2 linked regions of the Sus scrofa genome follow. The protein of the gene in region 1 purifies or fractionates together with the protein of each later gene. This does not show direct contact. Links are inferred from orthologs where the notes say so. Each region holds a gene or a part of one and is shown on either strand. Other genes may lie near its edges. The genes, in order: CLCN5 and TMEM9.

What was found.
Region 2: the proteins of CLCN5 (region 1) and TMEM9 purify together in Homo sapiens (co-immunoprecipitation; 3 studies listed by BioGRID and IntAct, with this or other methods). This does not show direct contact. The link is inferred for Sus scrofa from reciprocal best matches to the Homo sapiens genes CLCN5 and TMEM9.

The regions. Positions count from the first base shown.
Region 1 is NC_010461.5:43,781,882-43,785,689, forward strand, and holds part of CLCN5 (H(+)/Cl(-) exchange transporter 5), read left to right. Parts: intron 1-2,650; coding exon 2,651-2,750; intron 2,751-3,808. UniProt on the Homo sapiens protein: Proton-coupled chloride transporter. Functions as antiport system and exchanges chloride ions against protons. Important for normal acidification of the endosome lumen. May play an important role in renal tubular function.
Region 2 is NC_010452.4:23,596,994-23,601,324, reverse strand, and holds the start of TMEM9 (transmembrane protein 9), read left to right. Parts: upstream 1-1,335; 5' UTR 1,336-1,380; intron 1,381-1,808; 5' UTR 1,809-1,845; coding exon of another isoform or gene 1,846-1,911; intron 1,912-3,152; coding exon of another isoform or gene 3,153-3,244; intron 3,245-4,331. UniProt on the Homo sapiens protein: Transmembrane protein that binds to and facilitates the assembly of lysosomal proton-transporting V-type ATPase (v-ATPase), resulting in enhanced lysosomal acidification and trafficking.

The sequences.
Region 1 (3,808 bases):
CTCGCTTTCTTTCTCATGGACCCCCTGAACCCAGGAGTAAGATTGTCCCAGATTCAGGTTTTGAGAAATGTCTTTATAATCCCTGGATTTGTCATAATCCCACCAAGTTTTCTTCTCCTAACTCAGAAGGGTGATCTCTAGAAAATGTTTTTTTTTTTTTTACTAAGATTTTGCTATTTGGGGAGTTCCCCTCGTGGCACAGTGGTTAATGAATCTGACTAGGAACCATGAGGTTACAGGTTCGATCCCTGGCGTTGCTCAGTGGGTGAAGGATCCGGCATTGCCGTGAGCTGTGGTGTAGGTTGCCGACTCGGCTCGGATCCTGTGTTGCTGTGGCTCTGGTGTAGGCCAGCGGCTGCAGCTCCGATTCAACCCCTGGCCTGGGAACCTCCATATGCTGCGGGAGCAGCCCTAGAAAAGGCAAAAAGCCAAAAAAAAAAAAAAAGATTTTGCTATTTGGGAACACACACACATATTCTTTCTATTATATCAATTCATTCATCAGGCTTTATTTTATTTTATTTTATTGCCTTTTCTAGGGCCGCTTCCTGCGGCATATGGAGGTTCTTAGGCTAGGGGGTCTAATCGGAGCTGTAGCCACCAGCCTACACCACAGCCACAGCAACGCAGGATCCGTGTCACATCTGCGACCCACAGCACAGCTCATGGCAACGCCAGATCCTTAACCCACTGAGGAAGGCCAGGGATCGAAACCACAACCTCATGGTTCCTGGTCGGATTCTTTAACCACTGCACCACGGTGGGAACTCCCATTCGTCAGGCTTTAAAACATAGACTCTTACGGCTTTAGAATTTTTGCTCTCTGTAAATCAGAGTTCATTTTGTCACTTGCTAATTCCACATGTTATTCAGGTTGTAAAAGCCACTTGTGATATGCCAAGGGCACATTTCTCATGATATCAAAATGGCTGCATCTGAGACACATTTTATCAGCTAATAATAATTCAAAATCAATTAAAATGTGTTTATCATTTGTTCAAAGGAGACCTGCTTTTTCTTTTTTTTTAGCATGAACTATTCATCATCTAGATGGAAACACTGTCCCAGGGAAAAATGTCACCTCATCTCCTTTTCAGCACTTACATTGGAAACGTAAAGGCATAGTTCAAAATGAATTTTTATTTTATTTTATTTTATTTGTTTATTTTTATTTTTTTGCTTTTTAGGGCCACAGATGTGACATATGCAAGTTCCCAGGCTAGGGGTTGAATCAGAGCTGCAGCCACCGGCCTATACCTCAGCCACAGTAACTCGGGATCAGAGCCACATCTGCAACCTACACCACAGCTCACGGCCACACCTTAACCTTTTAACCCACTGATCGGGGCCAGGGATTGAACCCGAATCCTCATGGATATTAGTCAGGTTCGTTTCCGCTGAGCCATGATAGGAACTCCTGAATTTATTTATTTATTTTTTTTGAAGGAGAATAAAAAGAGCTTTATTGCTTTGCCAAGCAAAGGAGGTCACAGCAGGCTAATGCCCTAAAGACCGTGCCCTCTCCAAATCAATGTTTAAAGTGCTTTTACATTTTTATAGTAATTTTTACTTGTGCTGTCACTGTAGATCAAGACGGGGTAGCTATGCTATGGTTCCAAAGATAAGAAATAGAGGTACAGAGAAGGGAGAAGTACCAGTGACAAAGCTGTCAAAATGCTTGGTTTTGTTTTGTTGTTGTTGTTGTTTTGTCTTTTTGCCATTTCTTGGGCTGCTCCTGCGGCATATGGAGGTTCCCAGGCTAGGGGTCGAATCTGAGCTATAGCCACTGGCCTACGCCAGAGCCACAGCCACGCAGGATCCAAGCCGAGTCGGCAACCTACACCACAGCTCACGGCAACGCCGGATCCTTAACCCACGGAGCAAGGGCAGGGACCGAACCTGCAACCTCATGGTTCCTAGTCGGATTCGTTAACTGCTGCACCACGACGGGAACTCCAAAATGCTTAGTTTTGAAATGTGAGCATTGCAAGGTTAAATTGACAAGGGTAGAGCCTAAAAGGTAAAAAAAAAAAACCCACAAAGTTTCTGCACCTCTTGATAGCCACACCTATTCCCAGCAGGCTTTTGAAAATGCAAAGCATCATCCCTGCCATCATTTGGCATCTATGATCGATCACCATACAGTTAGGGGTTTGTGGGATCGAGTCTTGGAATGTGCCTGACCTGGGAAGTAAACCTCCAACCGTACTTTCACCACTGACATAAGCCTATGTTTGCTTATTCTTTGAAAAACAATCAGACTATTTGCTGTGAGTCAAGAGACCATCTTTGGAATATCTGAGGGTCCAGGTCAGAAAGAGACCACTGCCATAAGCAAACCACACTGATGCCATAGGAAAATAGCAGGTGAACAGAGCTGCCCTGAAGCGGTACCTGTAGGAATCGCAGTCCTGCAGATGAAGGTGGGGTGCAGTTAAGACAAGGTTCAATACACTGCCAAGTTCTCAGTGATGTTGGTTTAGCCAAAGATGCTTTGAGAAAGTAACTCCACATTGGTCTCTATTACCAAAGAATAGGTTTGTCTTTGTGTGTGTGTGTGTGTGTGTGTGTGTTTACTGTATTGCACATTTTGAGGTGAAGAAGCCAGGGTGTGCGAAGAAGGTATCAATGTTTTCTCATTTCTCCTTAGATTACCAATAAAAGCAAAGAGTCAACATGGGCCTTAATTCACAGTGTGAGCGATGCTTTTTCTGGCTGGTTGCTGATGCTACTTATTGGGCTGTTATCAGGTATGGCCAACTATGTTAGCTTTCTAACCCAATCTCCTAAAAGCGTGGTGTGCCCTTCCCCCCAAGTCATGAACTGAATTGAAGGCTGCCCTTCAGCATCTCCCTATGTGAAAGGAACTGCTAGGGGACCTTTTGGAAGCTTGATGTCCCCATCAGTAAAGAAGGGTTCATACCTCATATCCTTCCTTAAATAAATGGGGTTTAATGAGGAAATGCATTCAAATATGTTTGTGTGCTATTAAGATACTGTATCCATGTTAACGTGCTATTAGCAGTGCCTTTTGGTGCCTGTCTTGAGGAAGAGCCTTTCCATTGGAGGCTGTTTTTTGTTTTTGTTTTTGTTTTTCTTTTTAGGGCTGCACCTGCGGCGTATGGAAGTTCCCAGGCTAGAGGTTGGATCAGAGCTGCAGCTGCTGGCCTGTGCTACAGCCACAGCCACACAGGATCTGAGCTGCGTCTGTGACCTACACCGCAGCTCACAGCAATGCTGGATCCTTAACTCACTGAGCAGGGCCAGGGATCGAACCTCATGGGTGCTAGTCAGGTTTGTTACTACTAAGCCACGATAGGAACACCCCCCTCCGCCCCCCCCCCTTTTTAACACATATGACAAGGGGTTTAGGAAAGAAGATGTAGAGAGGACTTCCTGAGAGATTTTTGTCGCTATTTCATTCTTTCTTCTTTTTTTGGCTACACCCATGGCATATGGAAGTTCCCAGGCCAGGGATTGAATCTGAGCCACAGCCGCAGCAACGCCAGATCCGTAACCCACTGCACAAGGATGGGATCGAACCTGCACTTCCACAGCCACCCAAGCCACTGCAGTCAGGTTCTTAACCCACTGCACCACAGAGGGAACTCCTATAGCTTTCTTAAATATCCATTTTCTCATTTGGGGGTAAAGAAAAGCATGTCAGATATGGCTCCTGGGCTCAAGGAGCCTACACTCTTGTCCTTTCATGGTGGCTGGTGAGTGGGATGGTACCATCTTTTCCTGTTCCCTCCATCAATCTCCCAAGCCACTCAAGATAATACACATTCTAACTAGGAACGGTACA
Region 2 (4,331 bases), on another chromosome or scaffold:
CCCATTCTTCTGTCCCTAAGAAAGTCCCCACCTTCACATGGGAGGTAGATGAGGGGGGAGGGTCTTTTTCCAGTGCCTGAACTGCCCCTTCTGCCCCAGCCTGCTCCCCAAAGCAGTCACTCTAACCTCCAAAATGAGGTAAGGTCTCCATTGATAGATGCCCCCCCCCAGTGGTCCAGGTGCTTTGATCACATCATACCCATTTATGGATGTGGAAACTGAGGCTCCCTAAAGGATAAGCCAACCACCCAAATTCTCACAACTAGGAAGGGAGGAGCCAGGCTTGGTGCCCTGGCCATCCTAGCTCCAAAGCCTGTGAGCTTGTGTCACACCGTAGTGCTCCCCCCACCTCCTGCCCATCCTCCTGCCTGGCTGACTCTAATTCCACAGGGACTCTGCAGGTGATGAGGGTGCAGGGAAGGAGACATGTCAGTAGGAAGGCCCAACACAAGCCCAACCATGCCCACAGGAAGTGCCCACCACTGGCCACTGGCCCCATGAGGGCTGCAGGCCATGTCAAGCCCCCACCTCACCCCAGGGATCCCGGAGTATGGACTGAAAGGGACCGCAGCATCCAGCTAACTCATTTCACAGACAAGGAAATGGGCACAGAACAGGGGAGGTGTCTTTTCCAGGCAACACCACTGCTTAATGGCAGAGCAGGACCAAAGCCCATGTGGCCTCACAGGGTCGAAGCCCTGAAGACTCTTTCATTTGCAGCTGTAACGAGCTCGCTCCTGCCTCTCAGCGACCCGGACAGCCCCCGCCGCCCCGCACATCCTGCCCCTACCTGACGGGTCCAGACCAGCACCCAGGCAGGGGGACCAGGCTGGGCCTGCAGGGTTGCACTCTTTACGGGCCCCTAGCCGCCCCTATTCCTCCTCCTGGCGGCCGGGGTTGGGGTGGGGGGTTGGGGGGAGGTGGGGCCGCCCTCTGCAGCAAAGATCTGACACCAAATAACATTTTCACATTATGAATGAGGACAGAGCCCTTTAGTCTGCTTTTATCGTGTTGTGGTTATCGGCTTTATTGTTTACTAAGTGCTTTCTCTTTAAAAAGACAAGATTGACTAGCTTAAGCTCCCTCCAAAACCCTGGGTTTTAAATATGAGGACGGGGCGAGCTTCGCAGTGGGGTTCTGCAGCCTAACGGAAACCAGACCCTACCGGTTTTTCGCTCGCTTGGCTGACGCTCCCTTTTCCCGTCTGGTGGGGTTGAGAAATACCTCCCTCTCCCTTGCGCGGAGCCTCAGCGCCCTCGCGGAGGCGGGCCTCGTTGCCTTGGAGACAACCAGGTAGCGCTGAGCGGCCGCTCCGGCAACCAATAGAAGCGGGAGGGGCGGGGCCAGTCGGGTCTTGTGCCGCTGCGGCGGGGATCGCAGGTTAGCTACGTGCGTTGGGGGAGGGGTGCAGGGGTCTTAGGGGTCGCGGGGGCTCTGGGATCCATCGCGACCTGGCGGTGGGGTCGAGGTTCCTGGACTCCGCGCCCGGAGTTCTCCTAGGCCCGAGCTGGAGGAACTGCGGGCGGCTATGGCGGAGGGCGGAGGGACGCGAGGCGGGGGTCTCAGGCTCGTTTCGGGTACCCAGGGCCCATGGCCCCGCCCAGGAGGTCCCGCTGCCGGGCGTTCCATGTGGGCAGTGGGAGCCCGAGGTCTAGGGTAGATGGAAGTGGTCTTCGCCGACCGGGCTAGGAAGGCTCTGGACCCCGGGCCCAGCTCCCACCGCTTTCCTGCACCGGAGCGGGGCGGTTTGGGGCTGAGTGTGCCGCGTGGCCATCCGCCCCTTCTCTGCTTCCGTATTTCTTTTCCAGGTGTGCAGTCTTGCCGGCCCCCCCAGGCCTGAGAAGCATGAAGCTGCTGTGTTTGGTGGCGGTGGTCGCGAGTCTGCTGGTGCCCCCAGCCCAAGCCAACAAGGTGTGTGGGGGGCAAGGAGCCGCCATGGGGGGAGGTGCTGCTGCTTCCCGGCTTCTCACTCCCCTGTGGGCCCTGTTGGGGGTGTTCTGGCGGCCCTAGACTGCAGGCCTCCCAGAGAGCCGAGCCGGGGAGAGGGGTGGTCTGCTGCGCGCTGGTCTGATTTGGCCCGCCCATGCCCCAGGTAGAATTCCAGCCTGGGTTCTGTGTTTGGGGAAGTCTAAGTTTTCCTTACCTTCCTTTGCTTCTGGGTGACCTAGGGGTGGTGAGCTTTGAGCGGTGTAAGAAGTGCATGGCTGTGACTGGGGGTGAGGTCTGCATGGATCCAGGATGGGGGGGGGGCTTCCCTGGAGATACTTCTTTGCCTTAGTTTCCTGTAAATGGCCAGGAGCTGGATGGGGGCAGGTCTGTGGAATTCAAGATTCTGAAGACCTTCAAGACCGCATCAGACTGAGTCTAAAGATTGGTTTCCACTTCCTCTGAGGAATTCCTAATTGGAATGGAAGTTGTGTCTTAACTGACCCTTCCCCAGAGGGAGGACTTCCAGAGGGTGTCCATGGAAACGTCCACGTTTTCGGGTTCACCCCCACCTTTTCTTTCCCTGAAGCTCACCTAGGAAGTTGGAGGTGGGGTTGTGGGACAAGGCTAGCTACCAAGACTGTTAGATCCAGGGACACACAGCAGTGTGAGGCCCAGGGCCGAGGACTGTCACCTCGCTTGCCCTTCTCCCAGCACCGTCTACCTGAGCATGGCAGCCCTTGTAGTCAGCTTTCCCTGAGTCTCATTTGCCCTCCTGGACAGTTTCTACAGGACCCTATGTGGTAGCATCCTTCCTACAGGGGTTATTCCAGCTGAACTTGGGGATGGACAAAGGTCATGATCATTCATATGGGGAGTTGTCTTTGTGGCTCAGCCATTAACGAACCCGACTAGGATCCATGAGGATGCAGGTTCAATCCCTGGCCTCGCTCAGTGGCTAAAGGATCCAGCATTGCCATGAGCGTGGTGTAGGTTGCAGACACGGCTCGGATCCTGCATTGCTGTGGCTGTGGTGTAAGCCAAGAGCTGTAGCTCCTATTTGACCCCTAGCCTGGGAACCTCCGTATGCCTTGGGTGCAGCCCTAAAAGGCAGAAAAAAAAGATCATTCATATGGTCAGCTTGTGAAACAGGGAACCGAAAGTTGAGTCTTGCTAGAGCTTGTATCCTGGGCCCCCGGCTACCTGACCGGTGCTTTCTCTTGCAGAGTTCTGAAGATATCCGGTGCAAATGCATCTGCCCACCGTATAGAAACATCAGTGGACACATTTATAACCAGAATGTGTCACAGAAGGACTGGTAAGACATTGCCCAGACTGACCCTTGAAGTTGTGGGTGTTGACGGGGGTTCTTGGACCTCTGCAGGTTAAGCTTACTCTCCCATTTCCATGGAGAATCTTACAAAAGAATATTTTGTCCCTAGTCACGCAACCAATTAGAAATAGGATCCAGATGTTCTGAATACCAGCTTAGGGGTTCCTGGTCCGAGGAATGGGTTTTGTACTTTTGCTTTGACCCGGGTGTTTGTTCACATCCGCAAAAGGGCACCAGAGAAGTCGGGAGAGGTGGGTATGAGGGCCACATACTGTGGGAGCTTCTGCTTACTTGACACTTTGGCAAAGCTCCATTTCACGTGTCAGTTTGGTGCCAACCTCATAACCACCTTGTAAGGCAGTGGGATGGGCTGTGGTCCCATTTTATGAGTGCAGAGACTGAGGCCCAAAGAGAATTTCAATTATACTCCTGGAGTCCCAAATTCATTTCCGAATGCCTCGCTTCACAGGAGAGAGAACCATTCAAAAAATTCATTCAGGGAAAGGAGATCAGCTTGCCCAAGGGCAGCGTCAACATGCTTTCCTGGAAGGAATGGTCTAAGGAACAGTCCTCTGAAAAGGAGAGGGCTTGGGGGCACAGGGGAGAGGGGCTGGCACGCCGCAAGGTGCCCACCCTGTGTGGTTTGGGTGTAGGATTGCGGCCAGTGGGTGCGAGCTCCAGGCAGACAGATGTGTGAGTGGAACAGGTACTTTCCAGGCTGTTTTAGGAGCCGGGGCGCCTCGTCCTTGGAGGGGTCTGAGCACAGGCAGGGTGTAGCCCAATCTGGTCACTGTGGGTAGGTTAGCCTCCCGTGCGGTGGGGGGGACCTAGTCAGTGTTGCCTCTGCTCTCATGAGATCAGGATCATCAGGTGAGCTTTGAGATGAGAGTTTCCCATGATTTGGGGGTTCTTCTTGTTGTCTTCCCCAGCTTTATTGAGGTACATTACAGGTAACATCGTGTAAGGTTAGGGTGGACGGTGCAATGACTGACGCATGTGTGTGTTGTGAAGTCGGGTTAGTTAATAGCTCCATCACCTTATGTAGTTACCCGGTGGGTGTGCGGTGGTGAGA